3 linked regions of the Arabidopsis thaliana genome follow. The protein of the gene in region 2 binds, or shares a complex with, the protein of the main gene of each other region. Each region holds a gene or a part of one and is shown on either strand. Other genes may lie near its edges.

Region 1 (7,233 bases), 4.2 Mb from region 2:
TCGTTCTAATAAGATTCTCGCTAGTATTCTTCCATAATGGTTTATCATTAGAAAAAAGAAATATATATTGTATGTGTATATCAGAATAAAAGTTCATGTAATAACTTTAGTCTACCAAACCTAGCTAGTTGTATTATTATTTTACAATAAGACTCACACAGCCCCACTCATTCGCAATCATAACATCGGCGGAGACTTTCGCGACCAAGCAAGCGGGAATAAGTTTCATAGCTCCAGACAACGATGGTTAACTGACTTGTGTTCTCCTCGTTGAAGATGCAAATAAGTGCGATGATGATGAGCCAAGCATTTATCCGAATCAGAGTCTTGTTAACGATATTGAGTCACGGTTTGAATGTGACCAAACCCTTGCTATGATCCCTGTCATTAGAAGCCAAAAACGTGGAAGCTAAGGGGAGGATATTCATACACGAAGTCGCAGTATTTCTTCTTGTTGTCCACCTCATCCACTTCATCTTCTCATCCATATCATATATGTCGTCGGACACCGTCCATATTGAAGATGAATGAGCAGTTGCGGCGGAACTTAGAGGTTGGAGACTATGTCGACTTTATAAGAGATCAAAGAAGCATCACAATAAAAGAGAGAGCAGAAGAGTATCGCCATGATCCCTGGGAAGCGTGGAACTGCAAGGGTGTTATATAGGCTTATAGTGTTGTAGTTGTTGATAATTACTATATTTTGATGTTTGCATTACTGTCTGTCTATATGGAGCCATGGAGGTGATATCATAATCCAAGGGAGAATTAAGAGCTAAGAGAAAAACTTATGCTATCATCTAGCTACACATGATGCATAAAATCTGTGCCTAATTCATAGTTTTGATAATATGGAAACCAAGGAATGCTTTGATATATGACAATAAGCTATGGATCATCATTCCATTGCTAAAAAAAGAGAGAAAAACAATGGAGTTGAGAACAAAAATATGAGATGCGGGAATTGAACTAATCAAGTTATAATCTACTTGTACACATAACCATGTCCCACTCACTTCTCTCAACGCACTTTTGGATGCATCTTGGAAATATGAGAACAAACCATACGAACACTAAAACTAATTGTTTCGCTTTTGTATGATCAACAAAACAGACTTGTAGTTTGGAGTTGATGTAGTCTTACTGTAATGCCGTCTCTCGGTATTGACCTATTCCGACGCAGTTTCCTCAAGAACAATATTAATGCAAAAAGCAACAATTCTAAGGCAAATACATAAGCAAGGCAAGCAAAATAAAATTGTTGTCTCTTCGAATTTCTTAGAATAACTTATGTAACAACTCCTCGTTACTTGATGTTTCATTAATTAACGGACAAAACAAAGAATGACACATGATATTTTCATAATTAATTAAACATATTACCACATCCACTTTTATGAAACCAAAAGCTTAATAAAAACATTATTTAACCTCTAACAAATTTTAATTTATTTTATAGACAAAATAGACACTTTTTTCTCTTGAAAAGTGATTCTTAGGATTCTCTCATATTTAGTCATTTTAATTTTTTGAAAAATTGAAACCTAAATATGTTTGTTTACATTTAATTTGCACTAAAAAAACAAAAATCATTTTCCGAGAGACAGAAAAAAATAAATAGTAATAATTAAAACCTGTTTACGAGGAGGAGAAAAAATAAAATAAAAGAAAATAAATAAAAGCTTAAGAAGCGTCTCATTGCTGGATATCCCGCGCAACGTTGTAACAAAAATCGTCCTCTCAGTTCCAATCTCTCTCAGATTCTCCTCCTCATCACAATTCCCCACTCCTTTGATTCTTGTCCCAGAGTCACGTCCTCTCCTATTCGGGTCTCTACAGAGTCTAACTCTGACCCGACCCGACCCAATTCACTAAATGGAGGACGAACCAAAGCTCCCAACCGATGACGGTCCAACTTTCAACGAATCGTGTAAAATCTCGTCTGAGATATTGACCGCCGGTGATCGGAAATTACTTAAAGTTGAACTCCTCAAAGAGGAGACCACGCTCGTATCGTGGAAGAAGCTTATGGATGAGGCTAGCAAAGAAAACGGCGGCTTGTTCGTTTCGGCTCCCGAACGGCTTCTTAATGCCAACCCTAACCTCGAGTTTCGCCTTGCACCGGTGAGTTCTTAGCTGCCTACATGCATATTCTCATGTATTCATTTCTCTGTCTCTGTTAGACCAATTTTTGTATTGTATCATCATTCCGGGAGCTGAATTGGGAAATTTCTCCTTGACATTGAGTTTAGAGCTAGGGTTTCAATAAACTAACTCTTGAAAATGAAACAAAACTAAAGCTGTATAGTGATTTCAATGTGGATACTGATCATTGTCTAATGATTTAGCGATATATCGAATGCAGGGGGCACAAACAGAGAATGAAATGGTGAATCAACCTCATCCTAATCGTCTTAACTCTGTTATAGCCAAGATTGAGAGACTTTATATGGTACCTTTTCTTACTACTGTTTCTATTGATTATCTGAACAAGTAAGATGAATGTTTGATTTCTTATTCGGAACATTTTTCATACCATGCATTAGCACTGGTTTTGCAACAGATTTCTGATTAGCGTATACTTCATAAAATAAATTTCAGGGTAAAGACGGTAGTGATGGGGAAGAGTTAGACGGTGCTCCTGACGATGATGACTATGACACTGAAGATTCATTTATCGATGATGCTGAATTGGTTAGTGTAGATATCCTGACTATGGCTTTCTTATGTGATCAAAGTGTATCTTGATAGCTGAGACATCCTTCTTTCTTTCTTTCTTTTTTCCCATTGTAGGATGAGTATTTTGAAGTTGATAATTCGCCAATTAAACATGATGGATTTTTTGTCAATAGAGGAAAGTTAGAACGAATGTAAGTTTTTTGTCCTCTTTTTGTTGTATGTTGTCGCATTTCTCTATGGCAGGTTTGTCAGTTTTCATTTGGTGATATGTTGTGGAGAATAGGCTATGGGCAGCATAAGTGTGTGAACATATATTTGGCATCACCGTTCTCTTCCCTCTAATTAGGTTTATGCAATGTTTACTCAGGGCAGAAATATTTGATAGAATTTTCTTGATAATATTGCTACTTCTCTGCTAACATATCTAGGTTATGGTCAAAACGCAATGAATATTTTGTATCGTTGTGGTCTCTGATTATAAATAGGATTCAGGTTTCCCTGTTTCCTTATGAGTAGGTTATCTTCCATTACCATTCTTACCAGTTTATCTAAATTGTGTTTCCTTCCTACAACAGTGAACCTTCAGCTACATCGAACCAGCAGCAACCAAAGAAAAGGCGAAGGAAGGAGTCAGCAAAACCTTGTGGCGATGTTGTTGATGTATCCAGAAAACGAGCCAAGATGGCTAAGACGGCTGGGGGAAAGGTACATTACTTGCAAATAACTTTTTGAATCTATTTTAGAGTTCCATTCCAGACAGTTGATTATTTGAATGTGAAAGTCCAGGATCAATCTGCTTCTCCTGGGCCCTCTTCGAAGAAAATTTCCAATGATTCAAAGACGGTGCAAGATTCGTTTTCCCCTTTGAAAGCGCAAAATGGCAATGATTCCTTAGTTTTGGAAAATGTGAAGCATACTGATAAAGCGAATCACCAGCCAATGAATGCCACGAGTCCGAAGTCAAAGGCAGCTGGATCTTCTGGCCCCCTTCATCCGAAGTGCAGCAGCAAAAGTGTTCATGAACAATCTAATTCCCCTCCAGGAAAATCTCGGCCAAATGTTTCGGCAAAATCAGCAGTAGTTCGTCAGCAAGTTAACAATGGCATGCCTGACCTGGACATTGCAACGGAAAGCAAAACATCTATTCAAATATCTGTAAGTACTTTCCAGCTATCTTAAGTTTATTAGATTCCTCATTTTAGTTAGTTTGGAATTTGAAGTAAGCATGTATTTGGGGCTTTCATCTTCTACATCCAAGAGTGATGCTTCTCTAATCTTTGAGACTGTAGAAATGATCTGTAATTGTAAAGATATTAGCATTTAATTAGGAGAGTTCACGCATTAGATGGCTTCTATCTGTAATTAGTTTTCATCTCGACTCTGGGTTGATCTTTCTGGCTAATATTTGCTTCCATGCTTTACTCTTGCATATCTTACAATCTGTACTCAATTTTTTATTTTTGGAATGGAGCCCCCATGGTATTTACATTAGATTGCTCTTTACCTTTCTCTATTTAGAAAAAAAGCGGTTCAAATGGCCGGCCTAAATACTCGACACTTGAGAAAGCCATCAGGAATTTGGAGAAGTTGGTCGCTGAATGTGAGTTTCAACTGTTTCGTTGTTCTCTACATGCATGAGAAGCTAAATACCATTTAGTAAACTATCATATCCAATTTATTGCAGCAAGGCCTCCTGCTGCCACTGAGAATCAAGATGCCGATATCTCTTCCCAAGCAGTGAAGAGGGGATTGCCAGGAGATGTAAAATTGCATCTTGCTAAAGTTGCTAGAATCGCGGTAATCAAACTCTTCTGTTTCTAAATATGTATATAAATTTTAATAATCTTTCAGATGTATGAAGAAGAGTAGCAATTTTCTTTTCTTGAAGTATGCGAGCCAAGGTGAAATATCAGGAGAGTTAATCAATCGTCTCATGGGCATTGTCGGTCATCTAATACAGATTAGATCACTTAAGGTATTCATCTCTATCTCCTGCATACCGAGACTTGTTATCGTAATGGAGTTGTGATTCTTACTGAGGCATTAAAGTATTTAGATTTTTTCGATTTAAGGTGAAAGCTCTTCCATTCCAGAAAGAGCTAACAAGATCTGTATTTGTTAGTGAAGGAGTTCAAGCTCTTACGGTTTAGTAATTGTTATTGTACAGAGGAACTTGAAAATCATGATTGATTCGATCGTCACTGCAAATCGAGAAAAAGATACTAGATTTCAGCGGATCAAGAGTGAAATAACTGAGATGTTAAAAACACAAGTTCCACTTGTGGAATCCCAGGTTCTCTCCCTTCTACTCTACTAGTTTCTCTGATCTGATTTTCAAAAGTATTTCGTATCTGCTATGTTGCATAGATACTTTTGTTCTTGTCTTTATTGTTGGATTTAAACATCTTCTTTCGATGATGCACGAAACTCAGAGTTCTCTCTGATTATGATTGGCCTTGGATAAGCACTTATATCTCCCTTTTATTGAGACATTGATAAACATCTGATATTTTGAAATATTCCTTGCGCTGACATAAATTGTTTCACAGGAAACAAATCAAGAAGCTGGAACATCAGACGATTTTCAGGATGTTGGATCTCTTGGAAAGTCACCTGTGAAGAAGTTTGTCATGGATGTGGCGCTGGAGGAAAAATTGTGTGATCTATATGACGTGTTTGTTGAGGTAATTAATATTTTCCATAACCTTACATAAAAAGGTGTTCCAACTTGTTAGATGCAGAATTGTAAGTGTCAACATAGTTTTTGCTCTGTTTTTGGTAATACTAGGGAATGGATGAACATTCAGGTTCACAAATCAGAAAGCTTTATTCAGATGTAAGTTCCTCTCCAACCTTTATATTTTGCCATTCTTTGTCTATTTGCTTTCCAGATCCATTCAAAAACATTAGACTAGACCTTGCCTAATATTCAAGATTGTTTACCAAACCTTCCTGATTGATTTTCTTTTGGATTTATTCTTGCTCCAGCTAGCTCAACTGTGGCCCAATAGTTTAGTTGACAATCATGAGATCAGGCGTGCCATTTGCCGGGAAAAGGAAAGGCGGAGAGCATTGGAAGGAAACATTGGGAAGGAGATGGTATTTGAGAAATTCTTAACTTTTTTACGCCATAGCTGTTTGTTTGCTTCTAACGTGCTAACTTTTGGATGTGATAAATATCCATTTGTCATCGAATATTATCATGAACTCGCACATTTCGCTCATGTTTATCATTCCTCAACTTTTATTTTATTTTAGGATCAAACGAAGATAACAAAGAAGAAACAGACACAATTGGTCCCTAAATCTGAGGGTATTACTTATCCCGACAAGACTTCAGGTGTTGAAGTTAAAGCAAGTGTTGTCCTAACTGCAACCACCACGTCCTTAGTGGACTGTCAACCTGCAGCAGACTCGTCCTTTGAAAGGTCAAAGCAGCAACATGAGAAATTAAAGCGAACTTCGAGCTTAAGCAATCCTGCAGCAGAAGGAAAGAAAGTCAGAAGAAAGACAGAACCAGCTCTAGAAGAAACTCACCTGCCCGCAGAGAAACCCCTCGTTCTGGCCCTGAAGCGGCAGACACATCTAAAATCCAAGACACATAAACAGGTACAGGTACATCCACAGTCCAAGGCACATAAACAGGCACAGGTACATCCAAAGGCCAAGACACAGACTCCTCCAGACCTGAACCTGCCAAGTTAGGTACTACAGCTTAGATTTTTTTTCTCAAAGTCTGGCTCTAGCCTTGCCTTTGTTTTTCGTAGCTATAGTTTCGCTTCTAATTTTTGCGCCTAGTATTGATTTTCTAGTCGTTTCTTACGTAGAAGACGAAGTCCCTCTCCTCGTTACAAATTAAAGATGTTAAGAGAAGCTCCAATTCTTTCAATCTGTTTTTTTTGACGGAATAAACCAACACATGTAGCCTATTTCTAAATGGGTCTAAATTTGTCGGCGGCCCAATAAGGGGTCATAATAAAAGAATAAAAAGCCTTAAAAAGGAATTAGTATGTATCTGAAATCAAGCTCACTGGACTGGACGACCAAAAAAAAAGCGCACCGAAAATTCCCGCGTTCTCTTCTTACCAGTTACCACGCCGAATCACTGACCTCAAATCCAGAGCTTGACGAATCTCGTGCTATGCGAATGCTACTAGGTTCTAATATCCATCTTCTTCCGACGATTCTAGGGTTTCAATTTTCTCCGATAACCCCGTGAAGCTCTTACAAAGTCGAGAAGTGCGTGGTTAGGTTTTCCGGCGGCGATGAAGACGACGCAACTGTTCAAAGGGGCAAATGTTTTTATGTCTCGGAATCTGGTGCCTCCTGAAGTCTTCGACACACTTCTCGATGCTTTCAAGCTTAACGGTGCCGAAATCTTCCTCTGCTGCGACCCATCTCGGAGTGGTCCCTCTGATTTCCATGTCATCGCTTCTCCCGATCATGTGCGAAATGTTCTTTCTTATATATCCCTGCAATTGCTTATTTCGTTATATAATCTGCTCTTATTGCCATTTTTTTGGGGTTTTACAGGAGAAATTTAAGGATCTTAAA
Region 2 (4,111 bases):
CAAAATTCTTAGTCCATTGTCATTTTTGTAGTTTTCAATATGTTCTTCTAGATGTATTTCTTTTCTTCTAATGGCTTTCTGCAGGTTGAAGTCTGCGTCTTCGTGTTTGATATTATGTTTGTCAATGGAGAACAGTATGAGTCTTTTACTCACTATTTATATTTTCATTTGCATATATCCAAATACTTATATGTTGAGTTGTAATTTACTTAGCGTATCAATGCAGGCTGTTGGCTCTTCCCCTCCGTGAGAGACGAAGACGTGATTCCCATCATTTTCTTTTTTCCTTAACTTGATGCATTCATTTTCTCTACCAGGTTCATATATGTCCACTCTTATCTTACTTGGTTTTGCTTGAACTTACAGGTCTAAAGGAGGTCTTCCCTGAGACTAGGCCAGGTTATCTTGAGTATGCTAAGGAAATAACTGTAAGTGCTACGGTAGTTTCTCACCTAGAAGTTATAGGCTATAGCCTTCTTCTGTATCTAAGTGTTTTGGTATTTTCATTGAACTGATCATTGTTTGATTTTTATAGGTGGGAGCAGAAGAAGCGTCTCTGAATAATCATGACACATTGAGTAGGATAAATGCTTTTCTTGAAGAAGCATTTCAGTCATCTTGTGAAGGAATCATGGTCAAGTCTTTAGATGTAAATGCTGGATACTGCCCCACAAAGCGCTCTGATTCATGGCTCAAGGTCTCTTTGCTGTAAATTATCTTACTAAAACATAATGTGATGGAAATGGATTAAATAATGCTTTTCTTTTCTGGCTCAGGTTAAGCGAGATTATGTAGATGGATTGGGCGATACATTGGATTTAGTTCCTATTGGTGCTTGGTATGGCAATGGGAGAAAAGCAGGATGGTAGTAAAAACATATTTTCCAACTTTCTCTTTTTTTTTTTCTGAAAAGCAGAATTGTAATCATAAGTTTACTGGTAATTTCTCAAATGCATCTTGATGAATTCTGATGTTTTTTATATATTTTGTGTGTAGGTATAGTCCATTCCTTATGGCCTGCTTCAACCCTGAGACTGAAGAATTCCAGAGTGTCTGCCGTGTCATGTCTGGTTTTTCTGATGCCTTTTACATCGAGGTAATGAAAAGCTCAACTCTAACGTTGTTGTTTAATGATGAAACAGATGGGGTAGTAAATACGTTGGGTTTGGTCTATACTTGGACTCCTAATTGTCACGTGAGAACCATTTCAAGCTTGATTCTACTTTCTTATTTTGCTTATCTTGCAGATGAAAGAATTCTACTCGGAGGATAAGATCCTTGCGAAAAAGCCGCCTTACTACAGAACAGGGGAGACACCTGACATGTGGTTTTCCGCAGAGGTAGTTTGGGAAATCAGAGGTGCTGATTTCACAGTCTCGCCTGTTCACAGTGCCAGTTTAGGTCTCGTCCATCCATCGCGAGGCATCTCTGTTAGGTTTCCGAGATTTATCAGTAAAGTGACAGATAGAAATCCTGAAGAATGTAGTACGGCTACAGATATCGCAGAGATGTTTCATGCTCAAACCAGAAAAATGAACATCACTTCTCAACATTAACACGCTTCCTATCTGCTTTTGGTTCGTTTAGACTTTTTTTTTTTTTTTTTTTTTTGCTATCAAGCACTTGCAAAGTTGCAAGGGTGTTTAAATAGGAACCTAACTCACAAAATATTTTTTGTGGTTTTTAATCTGTAGGTAGAATGTGTAAATATTTCTACCTAGAACTATGTGAATATTTAACCCATCTGTATATATTATCTATGTGCGTCACTTTTTCTTTTTTGATGTCGTAAACACAAATGGTAACACTGGTAACAAAATATTGAAAGATAGAAAAAAAAAAAAGTATATAGGATATGATTGGTAATCTCTTATTTGTGTCACTAATCGATTGAATTCTATATTTTTTTCGTATTTATGTGTTGGACACTAAAATTATCAAATATTTAGCAAATTTCCCTGCTGCATTTCGTGAGTTAAAGTATTCCTCCCGCCAATTCAACTTAACCGGTAGTAGCCGGTCACCATTCCAACGACAACCGGTTATAAGAAAGCCATCCCCAAAATTGAAAACATTTTCATCGTCTTCTTAATCAAAAAAAAAAAAAAAAAAAAACTCTGAAGCTTCTTCTTTGATTAATTCTCTCCTGGGGAAAAAAAACCCTAGCTCTTCCTTCTTCTCTCTTCTCTTGAATTATCTGCTTTCGAATTTTTTGAAAAGGGAGAAACTTTTTCATCTGGGTCTCTCTCTCTCCCGAGTTTGGATGAAGTTTATTGAAACCTAGGGTTTTTCTCCGACTTGGTTGTTGATTAGAGATAATGAGTGCAATCAAAATCACCAACGTCGCTGTATTGCATAATCCTGCTCCTTTTGTTAGCCCTTTTCAGTTCGAGATTTCTTACGAGTGTTTGAATTCTCTCAAAGACGGTAAAAATCTCCTCTTTCTCCTTCCCCTGAATTGTAATTCATCTCGACTTTATTTAGGTTTTAGTCTCTGCTGATTCTTATGGATTGTTTTCAACACCAATTTGTTGCTGCTGATTGTAATTGGAACATATTGTTACCTAATTGCTTTGTCAGAGTCATGCTCTAATGGTTTGTTTTCTAATTGATAATCTAGAGTCTTGTTGTCTATTAGTTGGATTTATCTATGCACAAGTTCTTGGTTAACATTGTTATAGGGTGAGGATAACTTAGATAGACCCGTGCTTTTGCTTGTGGTACAGATTTGGAATGGAAGCTTATCTATGTAGGCTCAGCAGAAGATGAGACTTATGATCAACTTCTAGAGAGTGTGCTTGTAGGGCCTGTTAATGTTGGCAACTACCGCTTTGTATTTCAGGTAACATATGCACTACTACCTCTTCCAAGCACCAACAAAGTCTTGGTCTAACTCTCTATTACTACTGTTACAGGCTGATCCTCCGGATCCATCAAAGATTCAGGAGGAAGACATCATCGGTGTTACTGTGCTATTGTTGACATGTTCTTACATGGGTCAAGAGTTCTTGAGAGTTGGATATTACGTGAACAATGATTATGAGGATGAGCAACTCAAGGAAGAGCCTCCAACTAAGGTTTTGATTGATAAAGTTCAGAGGAACATACTTTCCGACAAACCTAGAGTTACTAAATTTCCTATAGATTTTCATCCAGAAGAAGAGCAGACTGCTGCTACTGCCGCTCCTCCTGAACAATCTGATGAACAACAACCTAATGTCAATGGTGAAGCTCAGGTTTTACCTGATCAGTCAGTAGAACCAAAACCTGAGGAATCATGATCCTTATACCAAGTCTAGTTGAAGAAAAGTGGATGAGAATTGAGAACTATTGTCTCCACAGATGTTGCGCTTTGCTTTTCTGTCTTTCAAAAGCATTATATGCTGTTTGTTGTACTTAATTCTAGAGGCTTTAGGGAAGTGATTCTTGACATTTTTGTATGTTTATGTTTTGGGCAAAGGTTTTTTAAATCGAAGCAAAGCCAACAGTTGCCAAACAAGATTCTGAGTTCTGATGGTTGGAATTTGGTAATAGGTGTAGAATAACTTCCCTAGATTTTCTCAAGGTACAAAGCGACATTTGATCTTCATCATTTGTTGAAAAAAGTGCCGTTAAATGGTCATAGTTAGCATTGATGATGATGATTATCATCATCATCAACCATAATTCTTTCACCAAAAAAACATGAGTCCGTGATTTTTTTAGGACCGTTTCACAGTTGTTCTGCCAAAAATATGAGTCCGCATTTATTCACCAAAAAAAAAAAAAAAAAAAAAGTAGTACACATTACAATTTCTCGCCTAACGATTTTACTCTGTGGTAAACCGAAAGATAGTTAAAAACGGCTCCATTTCGATTACTTTGAAAAAAAAAAAATGTTTGTTTTGTTAAAAGAAAATATCTTTTAAAATATTAAAAAATATTTTATTCAAACTTTTATTAATACAGATCTAATTACTAAACTCAATAACATTATAAAAGCCGTGTTCGGCTAAGCCCAGTAAGCCCTATATGTTTTGAATAAATACGATATTTTATAATAAACAGATTGTTGTTTTTAAATACCTAATAATACATAATATATTCCTATACTTGACAATAACGAATAAGA
Region 3 (7,366 bases), about 17 Mb from region 2:
TACCAGAACTCTGGCTCTGGTGATTGACTTTGTCTTGGAATCAATAACATATATCTCTTCAAGATCTAGCACAAATTCTGGATCGTTTGTCCTTCTGTTCCGGTAATGTTTTGTCAAGAAAACCTGCATAAAAAATAAACACGATGAAGACAATTTGTATCAGAAACTGTAACTACTAAACTAAGTAGTTTCGTGTTGATCTCATCCTTAATGCTTAAAAAACATATTTCCTGGTGTGGTTTCCAAAAATGTTGTCAAATCAAAACTAAGTACATCCTTGTTAATACATGTTGCTCAAGACTCCCTGCATCAAAGACCTAATGGATTTAACATCAATGTACATGGTCCAATATGTACCTTGGATATCTCCCTCTCAGATTTGTACAGTGGATCTCTGGGGGCATCAATAGGTGGTTCAGTGACATTGTAACATCCATAGTCACTCATTGCACATCGAATATACTGTACTTGTAACATCATTAAACAAGCCCTTGTTAGCACCACTCACTCATTGTAACAACTTGCTTATAAATAAACCTTACAATGTAAAACATACGCAATCATGAAGCAGCAAAGAGTACAAAACTGGCCACAGAATGAAAGGAAAGTGACTAAACAAACACCCAGCTGCTACATTCTGACTCTCTAATCATACTAAATGCTGACCATTTACGGCACTTTTTGAGATTATATGTTCAAAATTCCAGTCTATCAGTGTGAGTAGAAGTTCCAAACAATACCAAACGTGTACAGCTCTGTGTAGATAAGATTTCTTAAGTTATACAATTACTAGGTAGAGTGAAGGTATATGGGTTATACAATTACTAGGTAGAGCTCTGTGCAGATAAGATTTCTTAAGTGATACAATTACTAGGTAGAGTGGAGGTATATGGGTTCAATTAGCAATTAAGCACAATATGAAAAGCAATTATCTTGCTGAACAAAAGGAAGTCTCAGAACAACGCATAGGCATTACAAAAACAGCAACCGATAAGGATAAATGACTGACCTTTTGAGGCATCGGTGCAAGAACTCTCGGAATTGAGTAAATATCTGTATCCGGAGGAGTAACATACATCTGCAGCCACCCACACAAAACAATTTACAATTGAAGAATGAGCACAGACTCTAGAGAAATCGAAGAAATGAGCAATTAGAGTCACTGGGAATTCACACACCTCTCTGAAATCATAAACATCATTATCTGGATCAGGAGGTTTTCTGATAAAGAAATCACAGTCCATTAAGCTGAGTTTATGAAACTCATCTTCGTTTATCCGATAATCAACCACCATATCCGAATCCCATCCTTGTGTCGATATAAAACTCTTACTCTGAACAAAAGCGATATCTCCATCACCACCACCGCCTGCAGCGGCTATCGCGGCGGCCAAGGGGTCATACTCGACATCATAGTCCTTCTTGTTGTCAACTTCCTCTACCTCCTCATCATCCATATCATACTCGTCCGCTCCACCTCCATCAGCATCGACGTCATCTACTTTAACGACTATACCACGGCCGCGTCGGGATTTCAGTGTTAAAGGCGCGAAAAGACCGTCCGTTCTGAATGACGCAAATAGCCGCTGAGAGCCGGAGGGATAAGGTGGCTTCGAGGTGAATGAGAGTAGAGATAAGGAAGGAGAAGCGGCGGAAGACGCCATTGGAAGCGGATAAAGCTCACAGAGTGTTCTATCTATCTGTGGATTAGATATTTCGAGGAAAAATACAATTAAAAAAAAAAGAAAAACTATATAATATAATAATAATCCTTTTTAGTGAATAAAACAACAAAAATAAATTAGGAAATAATTAAGAGCGTCATTTTTGGTATCCCGCGCAACTTTTTCTTCTCAGTTTCAGTTTCTCTACATCGATTCATCGATTCCACTCTCTTGATTGCTGTTTAGATCAATCCGTCTCGAACCCAGGGGTTAGTATATAGTGGATCAAACTGATCCGACCCGACCCGACCCGAATTATTAATGTCGGAAGTTAATGAGATGAGTGGTGGTTCTATTGGCGGCGAATTGTTGAGAGCGTCGCCGAAGGTTTTAACGGCCGGTGATCGGAAATTACTCAAGGTGGAGCTTCGGCCAGGGGATACGACGTATGTTTCGTGGAAGAAGCTTATGAGGGATGCTGGTAAGGTCAATGGTTTATCGGCTTCGGTTCCCGACCCGCCTCCTAATGCTAACCCTAACCTTGAGTTTCGAATTGCACCGGTGAGTTTGATGTTGTAGGAATTGGTAATCGGATATATATACTTGTAGGCATTTGTGGGTTTCGTTTGCTGTTATTGGAGTAAGCATTTGTCTTGTTTCGGGGAGTTGTAATCTTTGTTAGGGTTTATAAAGGAGCTTTACTAAATTCGCAGATTTTCAGATTTATTTGTTGGGGAAAATGCTTGAAATCGATATGGTATAGGAGGAATTCTGTTGTTATTGCTCTCTGACGTCTGTGACTAGAGTTCAATAAGCAAACTCCTTAAACGGAGAAAGTCTACAACCTGATATATGATCTTTGGCTTCATTTCTAATTGCTAGCTACATTAGGCTAACTTCATCGTTATCAATGTGAATATGCCATCAATTATACTTGATCTGGAAAGGAATTTGGTTCACATAGTTGCAATGGAAACTATAGCTGTAATAGTGAAGAATATAGAGAAAGTTTTATTAATATCTATTAGTGCAAGAGAATGAAGCATATAATAGTGGATCTTCATTTAAGATGGTATAATATGCTTGCAGCTTCCTCACAATATATTCTTCTTATGCATACAATATGGGTGGTTAAAATCATTTTCAACAGCTGTATTTTCGTATATAATGTAGGGGCATCCAGTAGAGATTGAAACGAATGAACAACCTCATTCTAACCGTTTCAACGCTGTTATTGAGAAGATAGAGAGGCTCTATAAGGTATGCTACTCTTTGTTAAAACACTTTTCTTGGTAGGTTGTTATATGTTTGATTTTTCACATTCACAACATTTTTGCATACCATGCAATAGCACTGTTGCATTCACACATCTCTGAAAAGTGTATGCTTACTTCAGAGAATAAATCTCAGGGGAACGATAGCAGTGATGGGGAAGAGTTAGACGGTGCTCCTGATGATGATGAGTATGACACTGAAGATTCATTTATAGATGATGCTGAACTGGTTGGTGTTGATATCTTTCAAATATTTTTGATAGCTGAGAAATCATATCTCTGTTTTACTCTACTCCTTGCAGGATGAGTATTTCGAAGTTGATAATTCAACAGTTAAACATGATGGATTTTATGTAAATAGAGGCAAGTTGGAGCGGATGTGAGTTATCTTCCTCTTTTCATTATCTGATGTCTCTTAACTCTTTGGTGGCTTTGTCACTTTTCAATCACTCAGATCATGTTTAGAATAGGCATGTCGTAAGTTTTTGAAATAAACATATGAAATCACCTTGCTTTTCAGTTTTTCTTCCTATTTGGATATGTGTAGTCTCTCCAAATGGTAAAATATGGTTGGCAGTCTTGCTACTACTGCCTTAACTAATGTCTGTAGGGTGTTTGGTATGGGTAAAGTCCATTTTTCAACTTTTCTGGTTAAAAAACGTTCATATAGATGTAGGTTTTGCACTTTCGATAGGATAGAGTTTTTCTCATTTTGCCTAATCATGCTATATTTCATTTACAAGTTATCTAATCCCTGATTCATTTTCACAATAGGGAACCTTCAACAACATCTAACCAGCAACCCAAAAAACGGCGACGAAAAGATTCAGCAAAACCCTGTCGTGATGCAGTTGACGTATCCGATAAACACACCAAGTTGTCTATAACAGCTAGGAAAAAGGTAACATCTTTTATTGCAAATCATACTAATTTATGTCGGAGTTTGAGTCTGATAACTGATTATACGAATGGGGAAGTCCAGGATCAATCAACTGCTCCTGGGTCCTGGAAAACACAGGAGTCACCTTTGCCTTCTGGAGCGCAAGATGCAAATACTTCAGTACCTCTGGATGATGTGAAGCATTCTGATAGAGCAAATCATCAGTCTAGGAATGATACAAGTCACAAGTCAAGGGAAACTGGATCCTCTAGTGCCCTTCATCAGAAATACAGCAACAAAAGCTTACACCAACAATCTACGTCCCTGCTAGGAAAATCTCCCCCCAATGTCTTTGCAGAGGTAACAGTAGTCCGTCAGAAAGAAAACAATGGTATGCATCAGCTGGCAAATGTAACGGGAAGCAGACAATCTAGTCAAGCGTCTGTAAGTACATTCCAACTGTGTCTACAATTACATAAAATACACTCAGTAAGTTGGTTGCATTCTAAGGTCGTAGTTTTGTTTCTCCAGTTTTCATCTCGGTTCTGTGATATTTTTCTGGTCAATCTTTGCTTCCATGCATTTTTCTTACCACAAAGTTTACATCAGTCTTGCTTTATAATTCTGCAATAACCTGTCTCTACTCAGAAAAAAGATGGTTCTAATGTGAAGTCTAAAACCTCAATCCTCGAGAAAGCCATAAGGGAACTGGAGAAGGTGGTTGTGGAATGTGAGTTTTAATATTTTTCAAGTGTGACCAACTAGAATAGCATTTGGTGATTTTCAACTTACAAGAATTTATGATTTATAAGCAGCAAGGCCTCCTGCTATCACTGAAAATCAAGAAGCTGATACCTCATCCCAGGCAGTGAAGAGAAGATTGCCCAGGGATGTTAAATTGAAACTTGCTAAAGTTGCTAGGATTGCGGTACTAGAGCTTTTCCATTTGTTCTTCTCATTTTTTTGAAACTTGAAACGGTATGAGAAAAAACTAATATGCCTTTTGTGGCAGCAGGCAAGCCAGGGAAAACATTCAACAGAGTTAATCAACCGTCTTATGAGCATTGTTGGTCACCTAATCCAGCTTAGGTCTCTTAAGGTAAAATTTTCTGTCTCCTGTATCCTAGTCTTTCTGTTACTAAAGCAGACTTGTTAGGACTTTCGTCAAGGTGTTTAAATAGTTAGTCTTCTTCAGGACATTCATGTTCCAGTGAAAAACTCTTCTGTTTCAGGTACAAGCAAACAAAATATGGTTTCTTACTCTTTGTAATGCTTATTTTGCAGAGGAACTTGAAAATCATGATTGATATGGGAGATTCTGCAACCCGAGAAAAGGATACTAGGTTCAAGCAAATCAACAATGAAGTTCTTGATATGATAAAGGCCAAAGTTTCTTTGATGGAATCACAGGTTCTCTCTCTCTCTCTCTGTTCTAATCTTAAGTTGCTTGATAGGCATTTCTTTCATCCATGGCTTTTCTATCTTATTACATTCTTGGAAGTGTCATTAACTTTTATGAAATCTGGAGTTCTCTCTGATAATGGTTTTCCGTAGATCAAGCTCTTCATTCTTTTGTTTTCGATGTTCCCTGTGGGTCAATCTGCCTTTGTAGCGTATTTTCCTCCTATTAATATGTTGAGGCACCTGTGACATTTATGATATTTCTTGCACTATCATTTTATGTTCCATAGGCAATCAAACCAGAAGGTGCAACATCAGACGATTTTCAGGACTCAGTAGAAAAGCCATCTTTGAAGAAGTTTGTCATGGATGCGGCATTGGAGGATAAATTGTGTGACCTATATGACATATTTATCGACGTAATTATCATTTACCTTTATAATCTGCCATGCCAATTCTAGACATAGAATTAGAGTCAAAACGGTTTTGTTCCTGTTTTTTGGTATATTAGGGATTGGATGAAGATCAAGGTCCACAAACAAAAAAGCTATATGTCAATGTAAGCCCTTCTCCATTCCCGATTATTTTTGGTATTCTGGTTTTTTTTGTTCCAAGCTTATCTCATGTCTTAAATCACCAATTAGACCTAGCCAAAAGCTCAAGGTGGTTTGTTAGAGCTTGATGAATATTGTTTTGGAATTATTCATGCTCCAGTTGGCTGAACTCTGGCCAAATAGATTGATGGATTATCGTGGGATCAAACATGCAATTTTCCGGGCAAAGGAGAGACGAAAAGCATTGTATGGAAACCTTGCGAAAGAGATGGTAGTTAAAGAATTTTCTCAGCCCTTTACCTCTTTGCATTAAAATTTTCGCAATTTGCTTTGCTTGATTAGATTCTGCTTTGTTAAAGGATCAAACAAAGATGAAGAAGAGTATGAAGCAGTTGGTACCAAGAACAGACTGTACTGCTCAGCCCAACACCGAATTAGTGGTTCAGAGACAACACAGTGGGGAAAAAAAATTGATTGTTGATCCAAATGCAACCAGCACTTCCGTGGTCACTAGTCAAACTATGGTTGACAGATCAAATCAGCAGCAGCCTGAGAAGCTAAAGGGAATCTCAAGCTCTTGCAATCCTACAGAGGAAACAAGAGTGGTCAAGAGAAAGAACGAGGCTGTAATGGCTGAGAAACAAGTCGTTCTTGCCCTGAAGAAGCCCGAACATCCACAGACACGTGTAATCCCAGCTCCTCAGAATCTGAACATCCCACGAACAACCCCGGACCTGAACTTGCCAAGTTGACATCACGATTGACAAAGGAGCTCTTAGAAACGCCGGAGACAATAACCTCTGGCCTCTTCCTTCCTTGTATTTTGAGGTGGCACGGCATTAGTCCTGGCGATGCCGATGCTTGGTTTTTTTAGCTACAAAGCATGGTTTATAAAGTTGTCTGTATTCCAGTTTGGCTCTTATTAAGTTAGTTACTCTATTTACGTGTCCTTTTTCAAAACTCTAATGTATAAAGTTATGATTTTACGGGCAACTCTTTACTTTTGAGTAAAAAAAACAGAGCAGGTTTTAGTACTGAATTTTGGGTAACGTAGTTGAAAATTTGATTTCGGACGATAATGTAAAATTGATGAAATACATCAAAATGACTACATTAATCCTTTTGACACAATATGAATAATCAATTTTAATTAATATTATTATTACTTGTAAAACAGTATAAATATGGCTCATTATTTCACAGATTCTCAACACTCTCTCATTCTCCACAATTTACGATGGCACACCAGCTCCGTTTTGCCGCCGCAAGAGAACCCATCTCAGAAGAGTATCCGGCGGTTGCTCTTCCTCATCCACGTTGCATCTCCGTCGCGTTTCCTCCTCCGAGATTCACACCATCTCCGTCGCCTTTAACTAATTACTCATTCTTGGCCGCATTAACTCCTCAAGAACTGGAGATGCGTTTGCAAATTGCAATGGATGTCCGTAATGACTAATAACGAAGATCATGTTGCGGCTCCGTTTGAAGAGATGATCTCGAAGTTAGACCAAAGAAAGCTTCAAACGATGGCGTCATTGCTGACATCAGATCCCGATTACTTCTTGATGATCGCAAGAAACATGAACGGCTCCA

What was found.
Region 1: SGA2 (region 2) and AT1G77310 share a complex: the UniProt entries of both Arabidopsis thaliana proteins name them as parts of the HIRA complex.
Region 3: SGA2 (region 2) and AT1G21610 share a complex: the UniProt entries of both Arabidopsis thaliana proteins name them as parts of the HIRA complex.

What each region holds. Positions count from the first base shown.
Region 1 is NC_003070.9:29,049,796-29,057,028, forward strand, and holds AT1G77310 (wound-responsive family protein), read left to right. Parts: upstream 1-1,702; 5' UTR 1,703-1,875; coding exon 1,876-2,124; intron 2,125-2,365; coding exon 2,366-2,452; intron 2,453-2,601; coding exon 2,602-2,694; intron 2,695-2,793; coding exon 2,794-2,870; intron 2,871-3,254; coding exon 3,255-3,384; intron 3,385-3,465; coding exon 3,466-3,834; intron 3,835-4,197; coding exon 4,198-4,279; intron 4,280-4,363; coding exon 4,364-4,476; intron 4,477-4,567; coding exon 4,568-4,654; intron 4,655-4,846; coding exon 4,847-4,972; intron 4,973-5,228; coding exon 5,229-5,363; intron 5,364-5,467; coding exon 5,468-5,515; intron 5,516-5,667; coding exon 5,668-5,778; intron 5,779-5,937; coding exon 5,938-6,384; 3' UTR 6,385-6,636; downstream 6,637-7,233. Other genes in the region: MEI1 (transcription coactivator), read left to right, coding at 6,945-7,124, 7,213-7,233. UniProt on the Arabidopsis thaliana protein: May be required for replication-independent chromatin assembly.
Region 2 is NC_003070.9:24,890,268-24,894,378, forward strand, and holds SGA2 (ASF1 like histone chaperone), read left to right. Parts: upstream 1-2,072; 5' UTR 2,073-2,318; coding exon 2,319-2,427; intron 2,428-2,726; coding exon 2,727-2,842; intron 2,843-2,915; coding exon 2,916-3,281; 3' UTR 3,282-3,609; downstream 3,610-4,111. Other genes in the region: LIG6 (DNA LIGASE 6), read left to right, coding at 85-134, 227-261, 367-428, 536-697, 777-865, 997-1,096, 1,248-1,556. UniProt on the Arabidopsis thaliana protein: Histone chaperone that facilitates histone deposition and histone exchange and removal during nucleosome assembly and disassembly.
Region 3 is NC_003070.9:7,572,119-7,579,484, forward strand, and holds AT1G21610 (wound-responsive family protein), read left to right. Parts: upstream 1-1,825; 5' UTR 1,826-1,985; coding exon 1,986-2,225; intron 2,226-2,837; coding exon 2,838-2,924; intron 2,925-3,074; coding exon 3,075-3,167; intron 3,168-3,240; coding exon 3,241-3,317; intron 3,318-3,712; coding exon 3,713-3,839; intron 3,840-3,920; coding exon 3,921-4,262; intron 4,263-4,466; coding exon 4,467-4,548; intron 4,549-4,633; coding exon 4,634-4,746; intron 4,747-4,830; coding exon 4,831-4,917; intron 4,918-5,102; coding exon 5,103-5,228; coding exon of another isoform or gene 5,229-5,372; exon of another isoform or gene 5,373-5,509; coding exon 5,510-5,638; coding exon of another isoform or gene 5,639-5,680; exon of another isoform or gene 5,681-5,730; coding exon 5,731-5,778; exon of another isoform or gene 5,779-5,933; coding exon 5,934-6,047; intron 6,048-6,132; coding exon 6,133-6,525; 3' UTR 6,526-6,838; downstream 6,839-7,366. Other genes in the region: PTAC6 (plastid transcriptionally active 6), read right to left, coding at 4-123, 358-462, 1,010-1,078, 1,179-1,664; PUM20 (pumilio 20), read left to right, coding at 7,011-7,218, 7,262-7,366. UniProt on the Arabidopsis thaliana protein: May be required for replication-independent chromatin assembly.